Drosophila melanogaster: one gene and its partner. The protein of the gene in region 2 interacts with the protein of the main gene of each other region in a pairwise test. Each region holds a gene or a part of one and is shown on either strand. Other genes may lie near its edges.

Evidence for each region. Proteins that work in one complex are often made in the same cells at the same time.
Region 1: the proteins of CG15124 (region 2) and Zw10 interact in a two-hybrid assay, tested with the Drosophila melanogaster proteins (one large-scale study listed by BioGRID).

Annotation. Positions count from the first base shown.
Region 1 is NC_004354.4:2,602,197-2,607,495, forward strand, and holds Zw10 (Zeste-white 10), read left to right. Parts: upstream 1-2,000; 5' UTR 2,001-2,106; coding exon 2,107-3,456; intron 3,457-3,517; coding exon 3,518-4,333; 3' UTR 4,334-4,628; downstream 4,629-5,299. Other genes in the region: Klp3A (Kinesin-like protein at 3A), read right to left, coding at 1-426, 498-649, 723-1,402; Smyd3 (SET and MYND domain containing, class 3), read right to left, coding at 4,630-5,000, 5,066-5,299. UniProt on the Drosophila melanogaster protein: Essential component of the mitotic checkpoint, which prevents cells from prematurely exiting mitosis. Required for the assembly of the dynein-dynactin, Mad2 complexes and spindly/CG15415 onto kinetochores.
Region 2 is NT_033778.4:19,636,851-19,648,042, forward strand, and holds CG15124 (uncharacterized protein), read left to right. Parts: upstream 1-6,096; 5' UTR 6,097-6,187; coding exon 6,188-6,763; 3' UTR 6,764-6,848; downstream 6,849-11,192. Other genes in the region: CG18367 (uncharacterized protein), read left to right, coding at 1-22, 380-448; CG43277 (uncharacterized protein), read left to right, coding at 867-1,019; CG15905 (uncharacterized protein), read right to left, coding at 9,739-9,814, 9,903-10,429, 10,518-10,718.

The DNA of each region.
Region 1 (5,299 bases), on a different chromosome or scaffold from region 2:
GTAATTTCCTATTCCTGTCCTGCAGGGTGCGCACCTGTTCCTTAAGCCGCTGGATCTCGGCTGCATTGGCCATTGAACCAGCTAGTGACTCCTCACAGGGAATGGCACCCAAGCCTGCGGCTCCAACAGCGCTAATTAAGGAACTGCTCATCTTGCCGCCCGACAATAGCTCTACACGCAGCTTTTGGATGACGTCCTTCAGCATATTAACCTCCGCCGCATGCGGATCGAGATTGACCACTGGCTTGTTTTTGATTTGCAGTGCTCGATCCGCATAGCGTAGGGTGCTCAATGTCTCGGCCACGTTGTAGTCGGCGGGACTGACGCAAGCAATCATCAGCGTAATGGAATTACCGCCCAGGGAGTCCTGCAGCAGACGCGTCAGCTTGGACTGGCGATAGGGTATGTAGCCAGCGGCCTGGCCAGCTGCAATTTATATGGAATATATAAAAATGGAGATCAATTTTCAAGCCAGTGGCTAAATGATAGATACTCACATCCCAGGGCATTGATCACGTTGCCCAGGGCCAGAAGACCCTTATTGATGTTCACACCCTCTTTGAACCGATCGCCGCTGGCTAGGGTCTTTGAGCAGCGTTCAGAACCAGCCAGATCCACCAGGTTGAACCTGGACGTGGTAACGGATTGCCTATCGGAGATTGGAGGTCAAATGTGTATAAGCATTAAGTATTCTAACGAGGTGATGGCGGCCCACAACATACTTGCCGTCCAGCTTGGTGGCTACTAGCGTCAATGTGAATATGGCATGGGATCTTGAAGAGGTTTCATTCATAGCCGTGGCGGCCACAGCCCGTCCGGCTGAGCCGCGGATCAGATGATCGGTCACTTGCTGGGCGGATGTGACCACTAGCTCGGTGAGGCCCGGCATGATAATACGGTTCTTGACCTCCCTGATGTCTACGGTGGCCTTGTCCCGAGTTTTCGACGAAAAAAGGTCATAGAACTGCTCCTGGTAGAGCTCCACAAAAGAGCATGTGACAGCAAAACGAAATTCGCTCTGCATTTCCGCAATGGCTGTGAATATATCATGAACGGCGCGTGGTATAACGCCCACATGGTCATCTAACACTCCGTTGAAGGCGGTGCCCATAGTGTAGGTCTTTCCGGAACCCGTTTGTCCATATGCCAAGATTGTTACGTTATAGCCATTTAACAGCTTTTTCACTTTGGCCTGTACACACGTCTCGAATAGATCCTTTTGCGAGTCGTCAATGTCGAAGACATAGTTGTACGTATACGACTCATTCCGGTTGACTGTAACCTGTGGCGCTCCATCCGCCGATCGTTCGACGGCAATCCGGCAGCCGCGATCCAACTCGGACTGCACCAAGGGGCGCACGCGCAAGGCCACTGCCACACAGCTGGGATCCTCGCTGGACATCTGGGGGTAGGGGGAGGGAAGGACAATCATAACATTCCATCACCTTTACCGCCATCTCGACCAACACCACCAACCACTTACCTTCTCTGGGGCACAGCAAGTCCGACTTTGGTTAACTGATCAACTGGTTAGCACTTACAAAAACTTAGAATTTTGGTTGGTCTAGATTTTGGAGCAACGCGGCTTCTCCACGCGCAGCCCGGCACTCTCAATGAATTCGATTTTTGGATCAAGGAACTAAACTAATGAAACGCGACGCTAAGAAGCAAATGCATTTCTGCCAGTATTTTTAAAAATGGCGTTGTTATCGATTCGTTGCAGATGTCGATTAGTGGCGCGATCGACGGAGGTGCCGGTGTAGAAAGATTTCGATTTTTTTATAATTTGGCTCTTGAATAGCACATTTGCAAAAATGTGGTTGGACGATTTGTGCACGCCGATTTGACAAAATGAATCATTGACAGTGTATCTACATACTTATACATAAAAATAAAAGCTACCTAGATCTACAACTATTTTAGCTACTGCCAGTGATAAGAGCCCAATTCTTGTCAACTAGCCAATTCGCCGATAGCCGATAGCAGACAGCCGCACATATCTATCGCTTTTTTGAACAATCGTTGGTAGCAACAGGGAATTGCAGAAACCAGTTGTCTTGGGTTTCGCAAGAATTGGAAAAGGAGGATCTGGTCAAAGAGCAGGACATGGAGGAAGAGGCGCCGCGGTTCAATGTGCTGGAGGAGGCGTTCAACGGCAATGGGAACGGGTGCGCCAACGTGGAGGCCACCCAATCGGCCATATTAAAAGTGCTGACGCGCGTTAATCGCTTCCAGATGCGCGTCCGCAAGCACATCGAAGACAACTACACGGAGTTTTTGCCCAACAACACGTCGCCGGACATATTTCTGGAGGAGTCGGGGTCCTTGAATCGCGAGATTCACGACATGCTCGAGAACTTGGGTTCCGAGGGACTGGACGCCTTGGACGAGGCGAATGTCAAGATGGCGGGTAACGGCAGGCAGCTGCGAGAGATCCTTTTGGGTCTGGGTGTCAGCGAGCATGTGCTAAGGATCGACGAGCTGTTCCAGTGCGTGGAGGAGGCCAAGGCCACCAAGGATTACTTGGTGTTACTGGACCTTGTCGGTCGTTTGAGGGCTTTCATCTATGGCGATGATTCCGTTGACGGGGACGCGCAGGTGGCCACGCCAGAGGTTCGACGCATCTTTAAGGCTCTCGAGTGCTACGAGACCATCAAGGTGAAATACCATGTACAGGCATATATGCTGCAGCAGAGCCTCCAGGAGCGCTTCGATCGCCTGGTGCAGCTGCAGTGCAAATCCTTTCCCACATCGCGTTGCGTCACCTTGCAGGTGAGCCGGGATCAAACGCAGCTGCAGGATATTGTGCAGGCTCTCTTCCAGGAGCCCTACAATCCGGCGCGCCTCTGCGAATTCCTGCTGGACAATTGCATAGAACCGGTGATCATGCGCCCAGTGATGGCCGATTACAGCGAAGAAGCCGATGGTGGCACCTACGTTCGATTGTCGCTTTCCTACGCCACCAAGGAGCCCAGCTCAGCGCAGCTTCGCCCGAACTACAAGCAGGTCTTGGAGAACCTCAGGCTGCTGCTGCACACGCTGGCCGGGATCAACTGCAGTGTGTCCAGGGACCAACATGTTTTTGGCATTATTGGCGATCATGTGAAGGATAAAATGCTGAAATTACTGGTGGACGAGTGCCTGATACCAGCTGTGCCCGAAAGCACGGAGGAGTATCAGACATCCACGCTGTGTGAGGATGTCGCCCAGCTGGAGCAGCTGCTTGTAGACTCATTCATCATCAATCCCGAGCAAGATCGAGCCCTAGGGCAGTTTGTAGAGAAGTACGAGACCTACTACCGCAATCGGATGTATCGTCGAGTTCTGGAAACGGCGCGGGAGATCATCCAGCGCGATCTGCAGGACATGGTGCTGGTGGCGCCCAACAACCACTCAGCCGAAGTGGCAAACGATCCCTTCCTCTTCCCACGCTGCATGATCTCGAAAAGTGCTCAGGTAAGTCGTTCGCTAAACGAAACGATTGATTACGCACTAATGGATTCATTTTCGCCGGCAGGACTTTGTCAAACTAATGGACCGCATTCTTCGCCAGCCCACGGATAAACTGGGCGACCAAGAGGCCGATCCCATAGCCGGCGTCATTTCCATCATGCTGCACACCTACATCAATGAGGTGCCCAAGGTGCACCGCAAGCTGCTCGAGAGCATTCCACAGCAGGCCGTCCTGTTCCACAACAATTGTATGTTCTTCACACACTGGGTAGCGCAGCATGCGAACAAGGGCATCGAAAGCTTGGCGGCGCTGGCCAAGACACTGCAGGCCACCGGTCAGCAGCATTTCCGCGTGCAGGTCGACTACCAATCCTCCATCCTGATGGGCATCATGCAGGAGTTCGAGTTCGAGAGCACGCACACGCTGGGCTCTGGTCCACTGAAGCTGGTGCGTCAGTGCCTTCGCCAGCTGGAGCTGCTGAAGAACGTGTGGGCCAATGTGCTCCCGGAGACCGTGTACAATGCAACCTTCTGCGAGCTAATCAACACATTTGTCGCCGAGCTAATCCGTCGAGTGTTCACGCTGCGCGACATTTCCGCACAGATGGCCTGTGAGCTGAGCGATCTCATTGACGTGGTGCTCCAGCGGGCGCCCACGCTTTTCCGCGAACCAAACGAGGTGGTCCAGGTGCTCTCTTGGCTTAAGCTGCAGCAACTGAAGGCCATGCTGAACGCGTCGCTCATGGAGATCACAGAGCTGTGGGGCGACGGCGTCGGCCCGCTGACCGCCAGCTACAAGTCGGATGAGATAAAGCACCTAATCAGGGCGTTGTTCCAGGATACGGATTGGCGGGCCAAGGCCATTACGCAGATTGTATAGGGCGCGTGCGCCTTTTTTGCGAGCGAGGAATGTTGAACGGCGGATAGACATCACATTTGAGGTGGTAAACGGAGTCTAAATTTGATGATCACCATCAATGTGTCCTTACTTTAATTCCTTGAATTGTTTACCACAAATGCCAAAAGTAATAGAATTTGATAATCTTTAATTCTCCGAATGGTTTCTGTTGTACATAGAAAAGTAATTATCCACAAAAATCCATTCCATTCTTCCCGCAACGCAACACAATATTTAACTTAAGACTTATTTAAATGAATAAAAACAACTAAATCCCATTAGTGCGCCTCTTGTCGCGCTTGTAGAACGAGCATGTATAGCTGCTCAGTAAGCAGTCTGTGATCTCGGCCGTGGGTGACGGTTAGGATGCGTTGGGCCTCCTCCAGATGGTGCAGTGCCTCCTTGGAATGGCCCTCGTAGAGCTGAATCTTGCCCAGCTTCATGTGAAGCAGGCCCAATAGCGGATTCCAGGGTCCGTGGTATTTTCGAAAGCCTGGCAGCAAACGTTGCCCGTAATCCAGGGCGTCGCTCCACTTGCCCACTTCGATGGCTGCTTCGAAGGCCGCATCGAGCGTCTTGACGTACCACACATTCAGGGGATGGAACACGCCAGTCTGCTTGTCCAGACACACCTTGCACACATCGAGATCTGTGATCGAGAGAGTGAAAATGTGCTTATTATGGAGCTAATTCCATTTCGTCGCATCTACTCACAGGCCACGTCCTTCATGTTCTCCAGATTGTGCCGGGTCAGAGTCATCGCCTCGTTGAAGGCATTTCTCAACTTGGGACTGATGCCGGCATCGCATCGCGGGCAATTATTGCGGTCCACACTGATTCCCGCACCGCAGTTGCGATTGGGACACAGGGCAGCCAGCATCTCCTTCGATTCCTTGGCATCCGTGCACTTGCTGCACACGCATAGGAAGTAGTAGTGCTCCTTGAGGT
Region 2 (11,192 bases):
ATATGCACGATCCTCGCTGCCTGTAAGTGAAGTATTCAGACCCAGTAAGGGGAATAGAGATGAACTGTAACGCTCCAAAAGTATAAAGTTGTAGGCTATACTTTTTTTTTAATGATTTGTTCTATAAATATTGAATTCAAGTCTTTAACTGTAAATGATTCGGACTATTAATTAAAGATTCTCTGATAAATCTATAAGAACTTTAAAGACGTGGTGCATATAGTTCGACTTCATTCAGCAAGTAAAAAGAAAGGAACGCTCGGTACATCTTACTAGCAAATGGAATACCTTATGTGGTCTAGCCCCTACTAGTTATTTAATTTTATAATTTCTTTGGTCAAATTTGTTTCCCATTAAAAGGCAATTTGTATCATTCCAGCAAATCTTCTGTACCATTTGCAATCAGTGCCTGAGTAATGAGAAGAACTTTAGCAGCTCCGTGAAGTGAATATGCACATGGGGCATAAGTTAATCTGTTTATCGTAAATAAGTTAGTGTGTATGGTTCGCAAATAAATTTCTTGGCTAATTAACAAGCTTGCCAAATCAACACATCTGCCCGCTGGCTGGCTGTCTTGACCCACTTGCTCGTTTGCATTTCTGAAAAATGTATACGCAAAAACCAAAATCAGAAATTCTTTTGAGCAAGTGTGTCATGAAATTGCCATTCGTTTCTGCTCTATATACCTGGGCAGCAGATAAAACAAATATTTTCCAAGTATACCAACCGACGGGGGTGTACACATCACGTCAACGCCGCAAATTGGTAAGTAATCCAGCCAGATTAAATCGAAATTCATTGCCATTCCCGCCACAATTCTCCCGATCCATTAGGTTCGTTCCGCTGCAAATTTTTCAGGCTCTAATATGTCACCTTGGTCACAGCTGAAACCGATGGAGTGGTGTAAGGCCGTTTACAGGGACTATCATTCCTGGTCATTCGTCAAGTGTTCCCTGGCATTCTGTGCCGGTGTCCTCCTGGTCCGAAGCCTCGATGGAAAGTTGCCGGCCAGCAGCTAGAAACCCGAAATTTAGACCTATAACTAATTGAATATAGGATCATATTGCCAGTCATCTAACCAAATTGTCGTCGACGAAGGAGCGAAAGAAATCAGGATGACTCAAACGCTTTAAATTTAGCTGGTATATTCGTTTACTTGTTGACTTAAATAAAACAACAAAAATTAAGTTCACAAGTTTATAGTTTTTTAAAAATTTGACCAAAAACAAATCATGGCAGCTGGAATCTAAAATAAATATGAAATCGACGAGCGTCGTACACTGTGCCAAATTTCCATTGATTGGCATGCAATTTTAAATTAACTTTAAGAATACTTTCCATTTTTTTTTATAATAAACAAGCCTTTGCTTCATGGACTTTAGCTCATCCTTAGTGGCCTTTGTGACTTTCATTTGGTTTATGACACAACTCAAGTCCTTGCGACCAATCAAAGTCTGAGTTGTCAGCTTTTGGCAAAAAGTAAATCTCATATTAGCCATTTTCCGGATGCCATGTTTACTCCGGCACCTTGCTGAAAATGTCCACTTTGGGGGAATATCATCGAGCTGTCATGTTACTTTGAGTAAAAAACCATGTGTGAGGCCTGTTGACAGGCAAGTTGGAGCCGGATGATTCCACAAAATGATACATACGCCCATCCTACTTAGAGATTACAATCGGAAAATGCGCATAAGGTTTTACATTCTGCCCGTTTTTGGCATTAGTTTGAGATATGTGTGTCGGGAAGGCATCCGGCCCCGCGGCAAAGAAAATAAAATTAGGCGTCGCTTTTTGCCATAAACATAAAAATTGTTCCTGCATCCTCAGGAAGCTGTCTTACCAGGGGGCAGAACATCCATAGCCACCAGCGATTCCTTGGTATCATAATTTCGAAATGACAGGTAATTTGGGAGCAGCAAAAGGAACAGGAAGTGGAAGTGGCATCTCGATGGTTCTGGGGCAGGGGATCGTGCGAAGTGCGAGCACCAAATGGGAAAATGATGCGGGTTTATTAAGTATCGTTACTCAAGAGGAAAACCTGCCCAGATACCCCGAACCAAATCCCTCTCAACAAATTTATGATGCGCCATTTTCAAAAAAGTACCTGTACCCCCTTTAAAAAAAAAATGCAGAAAAATGTATATTGTAAATATACTCGAGATGTAATAGTGGGGGGTGCCACGTTACTTACCTTCTTCAACTGGCAGCCACCTAGTGATTTAAGCTCGGCAAAAAATGCTGCCGCACATGAACATGCAACTAATGAGCTGAGTTATTTCCAGTGGGCTGGTGGGGCAGAAGTTACCAGGTTTCTGGAACACGCCACGGGAGCTCAGCTCTTCCGGTGCGGGTGGTTTAAACTCTAATTGAAATTTAGATAGCTGCTACGTGTGCCAGCCGGAAAATCATCGCCAGGTGTCACGGTAGGTGATGAGTTAAACAGCCGGAATGGCGAAATGCGTGCGGAAATTGGCCCCGGAATGCCAAAGGATCAAGTGTCGACACCAAAAGAATTTCCAGGTCAAAACGCTGGGCTGGAGATGGAATGCAATTAAGACAAAGCTCTGAAATTTATTATACGTCTTTAAAAACAGTCAATCTTAAACTGTAATGAAATTAAAGGTACAATGCATCTTAATAACAACCCATGTTAGAAATGTTAGAATTGCTTCTCTTATCAGAGTCCCGAAAATATGAGTTTAATGTGCTTTATTTAAGGAAAAACTAGCGTTTAGCTTGGTAGCTTATATTTGTGTTATTGAAGTAATTACAATATCAAGATGATTTCAGTTCACTAACAAGTATGTATGAAGGAATTATCTGGCATTTCTGAGGCCATATTTCATTATGGAGAGCCCTGCAGCTCGTTTAAGATTTGGCTATTAAAAACGGCGCCATTGATGCGAATATTTATTGTGGCCTGGCTTTTTCATAATGTTGGATTATCTAGGCACATGTCCTGCCAGGATTTATGAGCCAGGAATAGCACACAAGAGGTTGAGAGCGACGCTGCGGGAGGGTTGGCCAAAACCAAAACCAAGAGTCAGCTTTAAGCCGTAAGGAAATTGAAATCTTAAGCTTTATTGTTTTACTGGCCCCTCGTCTTTGCCATTCAGCTGAGGATCTGTGTGTGCTCGACGCGACGCATGCAAAGTGAAGCAGGAAAGTGAATAAAACTGCAGCAAAAGCAATTTTCATAAATATTTAATGGATAATGGCGAAAATAAGCGCAAGGAGCAAGACACATCGGCATGATGAGAGGGCAGGGAAATGGCCGTCCGTCTGCTTCTACCCATTCCCACTACCATTTTCCGCACCATCTCCGTTCTCGATGTATTGTTTTGTTTGTGTAGATATATATGTGCCCCTCTCATACAGGCACTTCACCCACCAACCCACCGTATTGATATGTCAGCATAACATATGTGGGCATTTCCCCGAGTGTGTGTTCGGCAATCTCAGCTTTTAGTTTCGGCCCAAGGCCCAGTGATTCTCATTAAAATTACAACACAAATAAAACGAAGAGGGAAGGTGGATGAGTGGTATCGACTTTTTTGCTTACCTTGTGATTTATTGGCTTACAAGAATTGCTTAAAAGTTGATCATTTTTTTTAAATTTTGTCGATTTGTGTTTTATAAACTACAAAAATTAGTTAGGAAAATAAGTGAAATGCCATAATGATTTACAAAATAATTGAAATATTATTTCCGGAAATCGGCATAACCAAAATGTTAGATACTCCTTTTGCCTGCCGATTACAGCGTATGAAAAGCCGGCGAAATGAGGGTAAAATTCACGCGAAATGGAGCAGCCAGCGAACGTGAGAGCCCGTCCATTGTCTTTATCCTGGCGCTTTTCTGCTCTCTGTTGCTCCTCCTGGTCGCTGGAGTCCTTTAAGTGTGCCCATTACAGACGGCAGAAATCATAACAATAAAAGTGTGACGGGACGGAAGGACAGAGGCGGTTGGCGGCTGGCGGATGGGCGACGGGCTGTTTGGGGGCCAGATAGCTCCCCCCACTTAATCGATGATGATGAATAATTGATTCGCTGCGATGCGCCCAAGCATGGAAATGAAAATGTCGGTGCATGCGGGGAGCGGCTTTCTGCTTCTGTTTCTGTTTAAGTTTCGGTTTCAGTGCTTCCCTTTTCGCACGTGTGTGTATGTGTGCCTGTCTGTGTATGTGTGTCGGCGTGTCCTTCTGTGTGTAACGAATGGCAAATTTCAGGAAGCGGAAATGGCAATTGCAAGCGATGGGAAAAGGCAGCAGAAAGACAACGACTGAGGCAAATGTGAAGTTGTGCGCTAAATGAAATGCCAACACAGCAACACGGCCGTGCAAAACGGAAATAGCAAATGCGAATGACGCTGGATCGTTGGACGGTTGGCTGGCTGGATGGCCGAAAAATGGTGTTGGGCGGGGGTCTTGGGATGACAATGGGTGTCCTGGGCAGAATGGGCAGACAGGTGCCAAGGCAGACAATTTGCCGGTATTTAAATTCTATTTTAAGTTCTGTTCAAGCGCGTCAGGAAGCAAACGTAAGGAAATGGTTGACCGTGAATGGTGGACACGTTTCCCACTAATATGGCTGGAAAGCTTAAGGCTTCCTTTTATATATATGATACATATTATTTAAAATATAACCATAGATTTTATAAAATATTATAAATATTTTATTAACACTCATAATATAAATTGCTTAGTTTTGTTTACTCGCCACACTCATTGATGTAACAAAAATGACAAGTAATTTTGAAGTCATTTCATTTTTCATTTGCTTGGGATTAACATTTTTCTTAAAGGACTTTGAGCGTGCATAAAAAATTATCTTTAGCACCATAAAGAACTATATTCACTGCAATTTAAAATGAAAATAAATCTGATCGGGTTAAATGAAAATCGACTCCAAAAGAAAAAATCCTATTTCATCAAGGAATATTCTCTTATTTTTTCTTTTGAATAAAGTTTCCTTTTCCATTTGACTCTTCACCGTCGTTCAGTCAGGGCTTTTTTTCCCCAGGCTACGTGTTTAAAAATATAATCGTATTGAATATTTAAATGCTCGCCAGGGCAAAAGTCGCCAAATACGCTGGCAAAACTGGACGGGAATCAAAATCAAATGCAATGCCTGCGGCTTCGGCGAATGCTGGCTGCCTGTCAGCCTGGCACAAAATTAGATTTAAATATTTTGGCATTTCCCATCAATTTTCATATAATGCAACCCCATCCTTTTCGCTGGGATGCAGGTCCTGTTGCATGGAGGAATGCTGATAGTGAGTGGGATTCGTCTGTGGCAAGTCATTCCAGCCCTACACAAGCGCACACATCGATGTGGATTGAAAGACAGGCGCACACAACCACACATGCTCAATCATTTATGCAGCAATCAGTGCTGACGTCTTTTCCACACGTACGATTACCGGCATAGAGAATCGAGCCCTACTCTCGGTTATGTGGAGCATATTGGGAATCGAAATTGAGTGCGGGTTAACAATGAGGCAGTTGAGATTGCGGCAGCTTCTCTCGAACTTCTGTTGCTCGTGAGTTTCTTGAATTTAAATCAATGGCCCGGGCATCCACTGCGTATGAGTAATATTATACAAGGATGAACAGGTAATTTAATTTAGCTTTTCGGAACAATTTTTTGTTCACAGAATGCAATCAAAACATGTATGAGATAATATACATTTAAACAATCGTTGTCGAATTATTTATTTTATCATGATCCCTACTTTTTTATAAATTGACAATCATTTAAGTAAACAATCCTTTCAGCAAAACAGAAATAACTCCTTTTTCAAGGTGCAACCGTGAAGGACGACTGCACAAAAACTCTATTGGATTATTTGAAGGTTGAAATCAAATTAAGTCAAGTGAATAAATTGACTTTTAGTGCATATAAAAATCGCAAAAAGCGCAAATAAAAATGAAATAAAATTGCGATGGATAAAAAGTTTAAAAGTGAATCCATAGAAATTCATCGTTTGCTGATGACGAAACATGAAAAAAGGAAACTTAAAATTGGTTATATATACGAAATTAACAAGGGAAATTAAACGATCACATAGCAAAGCATTTTTTTGGAAAGTAGTCATTGCATATATTGCTTTCTGAGAAACTTCGTATAAATTTAAATTATTAAAATAAACCGCTAGAAAAATAAGTTAAAATTTGATATCAATTAGAATGGATAACGACAATATGCTCGACTTTACAGACTTAATCAGCTGCAAGGACTTACCGAACATAACTCTGCACAATATCCGTCCCATTTACAGTATAAAGGTTTTCATGTCCGAACCTAAAAACTCCAATGTCTCTATTGCTGAATTAATCAAACGCCAGGAAGTGTCTGCAGAGCAATGTCGCAAGGCACTTAAAGTCATAAAGGACAGACTTCTTCTGAAAATGGCAGCGTTGCAAGAGCTTAAGAAGTATCTGCTGGATTTGCATTCGGAGATCAAAAAGCCCGGTGCAGGGACTCGTTTTGTGACCAATCAGGAGAAAGTTAAATTGCATTTCCTAGACGAGACGGAAATCAGAGAAGTCGAATTGTCTGACGCCGTAGAACGTTGCAATATAAAGCTGAGCTCGCTTTATTGCGAAATCCTGGCTTTGGACAGCGACATGGGCAGTGTCGCCTATTTGGAGAGGGTCGCCCAGATCAACAAAGACTTTATCATGGATTGGCATAAGACTCAGAGGCAGAATAAGACAAGCAACATCCATTGTTCCGGCCAAGGCGTCAAAAAGACTTTTTAATTTGGACTGTTTTAAACTTTACATGTTTCACTCATATGCAATTATTATCGCACTATTCTGGAAAATAAATATTTATCGCGAAAGCAAATACAAAATGTTTTATTACACCTCTCCGAGATTGAATAGTTGAATTTCCAGCAATGAAATTAGCCTTAAGTAATGTGCTCCTCTCTTAAATCCTATCCCTAGGAATCTTTTTTCCCCCTCGACTTTTCCTGCTTCGTGTCCTTCCGTTTCCCTTTTCTCCGTTTACCTGTCACTGACAGCCCGCTGGCCGCTTCATCTTCATTCCCCGTCCATGAATAATCCCTGCGACACTTGCGTTTCATGGCTTTGCATAGTTAGGACCTGTTAAAGGAGGGACCTGGTCCTGGACAGTGTGCTCAGGCATCTCCTCTCTTAGCCAGCGCTTAGCTGGACCTGGGGAGTTGAATCTGTAGCTGCACAGCAAAAAAAATTTTAAAGGTTTCAAAAAGATCTCAAAAAAATGTCCCAAGAGTTTTAAACTCTATATAGAATAGTCTTGAGTTACGTGTCCCGTTCAGGTAGTATTTTTAATACCATTTGCTGGCAAGTTACTAATATTTTCTCTGAGTGTTCAGTTAGCTGGGAACCGGAGCAGGAAGCCAACAACAGGTTGCGTGCCAATGCAGTTTTTCATCGTGAAATGTCGGCGCTGATAGCGATTGTAATTATTATGCTGAACTGCGGGTATGTATGTATGTATGCAAGGGGATTCGCTTTTACGAGAGGCAGAATGGTTCTATTTCAGGTCCTGGCCACTCTTACTTGTTTCCCATTCTTTTTCCGTCTTGTTGCTATCCACTCTCCGACGCATAAACACCGCTAGTTATGCAATAAATAAAATGCAATTGTTGCGTCACAAAAGCTACATAGATGGCAGTGCGTTGGTCAGAAGGGGGGATTGGCTTTTTGGCTCTGGGCTTTTGCCGCCATGTTTGCGAACAACAGCAAGATGGCGCCCCGCATCCGTTATAGCCGAACATCCAATTCCGCGCTCACTTTCGCTGCCTCAGTTGCTGGGCGTCTGCTTCACTTCCGGTTGGAAAAGTTGTTGCATTGTGTGCGTTTTCGTGGAGGTTCCACATCCGCTTTACCAGCTCTCCCAGCTACTCTAGCTTACTTGGCACCGCTTTAATTTGACAAACCATCGCATTTAACGGCCCGGCGTAGTTTATGCTCCTCGAACAGGCAGCGACATCAAGGCGAAAGGTCAAGGAGGTGGCATAAATAATGCAGCGAACAACGAAAACGACAAAGTTGCCAAAGACTTGGACTAACCGGCTGCTGTTGCTGCTGTTTCTGGCCAAAACTCACTTGGCCAGCATAGAAATTGCAGTTTACAGTTGCTAATTGAGTGTGCCTAGTCTGTGCAGGTGGCCTAATGTTGGTAATTAGTGTGAGCCAACTTTGCCAAAAAGATTCCGGCACAAAGTTGCCCAGGATGGGCTTTTGTCAATTGCATAAGTTGCCGTCGTGTCCGGAAAATCTATGTATGAGATTGGATAACAATGAATTATATTTAGCAAACGAATTTCAATTAAAAAAAACACCTTAATTGAGAATGATTCCAGTCTTAGTATAATTTGCTAGGTGGTAAAGGCACCGCTTGAATTTAAGTTACATATTGACTATATTATTATTTTACTCACCCTGATTAGCGTTAAACACCAAAGTGGTTCACATTTTAGCACACTATTATCCTTAGCAATATGATTTAGTGCTTTGTGGAATCTGCTGAATATACATGGAATGACTTTCAGGTGGAGCACATTAAAGCCCATACAGTGATATGCACTCTTGGCTAACTGAAATAGCATGTATAGGCCTTGCTGTGCATTCGGTTTAAACTCGATTAAAGCCACGCACAACGACATCGGAATAATGCAATTGTTTCGGGTATATAGCTGACCAGTTTATGGGCAATCCGAGAGATTTCGAGCGTCTGCAGGCAGGACCAAGCGATCCAGGACACGTGTGCGTGCTTTGTCTGGCCAGAGAGGACAACGAGGAGAGGTTGCCACATGTGGCAAATTAACTTTAAATTAAGCAATTAATTTAATTAGAGCACGGCGAGTGCACAGTGCGACCCCAAAGATTTGCCGCACACGCAACAGTTGCAATTAAGCAGCCTTCGCACACAGATGTCCCCACACAAATACAGGCGTAGTCACAGTAGTGCACACCCCCACTCACAGATACACATATTAACGTAAAACAATGCCGTTTCAGCTGCAATTGCATTTTAAGCGCATGCGGAAATTACAAACTCAAATTGATAAAGCAAAACCTGTGCACATGTGTGGCCCTGGCATATGGCATATGGCAGTAATAAAAATCTGGTTATATAAGGTGAAAAATTGGCTTACGCCTGGGACTCCAGCATGGCCAAAGAAATCCGAGTGCCAGCACATATGAAATCGGAATGCAATTCATTTCTCCATTAACCAATTAAACGCAATTCATCAACTGACGTTCGCAATTTGCAAAAAAATAAAGAAATAACAAAACTATTAATAAGGGATGTAAAAACTTTTACAATTTTAAATTTCCACTGACAGTCAACATTGAAAGGGTTTTTCAGTCAAACGGAAATTTGTTTTCAATTAAGAGTTGATTTAAATTTAACTGCCTTTTCATGACGAACGCATGAAAAATCAGTTATAAATACCTTCTACGGTAATATGCAGACGTTAAACAAATGTATGCTAAAACTTTTAATTTAAAACACCATAAGCTTCTTAACTTTCCTTTGCTTGCCAAATTCTCAACGAAAATCACAAGTCTTACTTTAATGAATATTCTTGCACTATTAAGTTCAAACAAAAGTGAGTAAACTCTTTAATTTACTGGCTTTCAGTCAATGTATTTCACGCCAATGGCTAAGATCCAATTAGTGGCACTTAAACTCTATGTCTGAGTTAAACTATATGGTAGTTAAAACTGTTAAGTCATCAAGCACTTTCTGCGGCATTTGCGGCTGCCAAAAAAGGAAAATTCATCCCCATCAGCATGCTGTACAGCTTTCTGCTATCGAAGAGAATGAGAGATACGGATAGTAAAAAGTTAGACGATTGGTAAGCGGCTTAGTGGTCATTTTGTATACATTTAGACTTACTAGATCGAGTCGGTGCACTTGCCCTGGGCATCTCGCACCTGATGATTTCGGCAGCGAGCGGGTTTCTTGGTAGCCGGCACCGAAGATCGTTGAACTTTCACCTTGAAAATGGGCGAGTTGTGACCTTTGGGCGGCGTGTACTCAATGTTCTCGCGCAAAGTGGGTGGCGTAATTAAAGCAGTTGGTGCCGCTGCAGCCATACTGGGTATATCCTTGGATCGAGCATGAAGTGGGTGGTGCAAGGGCTTCGTTAGACCGCCGATTGGCGTCTCTACAATCATCAGATTGTTTAGTCTGGACTTGGGCTTCGTTATACCACTGGCCGCAATGTCAGCCAACAGATTTAAGCTTGTATTCAGCTGCGTGGCTTCGGTAGTAGGAGCCACTGTAGATACAGTGCTCTCTGGCAGGGTGGCCGATGTGGTGCTCGTTGTTGTGGTGCTACTGGTCCCTGTAGTTAGCTTGATCGGTTTGACGGTCAACGCACTGTCATCATAGTAGTAATCCTCCTCATCGTTATACGTCTCCTAATTGAGAGATCGAAGATGTTATTTTTAGCTCGCTGGCAACTCGTTAGCTGCATATCGGTTAACTGGTTTTCGGGCCCCCACTCACCTCGGCCAGTCCATTCTGGCCCACCTCGATGATGGCCACATCCTTGATGCTAACGTGGATGTTGAATCTGCCAGTCTGTCGCTGATCGAAAACCACTCGCCCTGAATCCGGCATTTCGCTGGTCGTCGGCGTTTCGGCCTCCTCGATGGGCAGCGTTTGGGCCAGGCCAAAAGCCATCAGCGTAAGTGATATCAGCAGCATTTTCAAATTGAAACCAGTTCTAAGGGCGCACGTCAAGAAACTCTGCTGAAAGAACGTCCGTTCTTCTTGAAGCCGCGATCACAACTGATTTGGTCGCTGGGTATGATAGCCCTACTTAAAGGCCTAACAAAGTAGGCAACACTGCAAAAAAGTACAAGGGGTTTTTACAACGATGGCTAATAAAGGGATCTTGATTAGACCGGTTTTATAAATTGGCTCATTATTACTATGTTGTGTAGTTATGCACACATTATGGGAATATTGTGAAAACAAAGCTGCATCCCATGCATTGGTACTCTTCCTAAATTTTGTTGAAAATGATACTCTTAGTGTACACCTCTCAACTTGAAACCCTCTTTCATATTCATTTTCTTTTAAGCCCATTTTTTATTTTCAAGAGATGCCAAAATCGACATACCCCAATTATGGCAAGGCTCTATGCAAATAACCTGCATTTATATCTTCATCTACTGG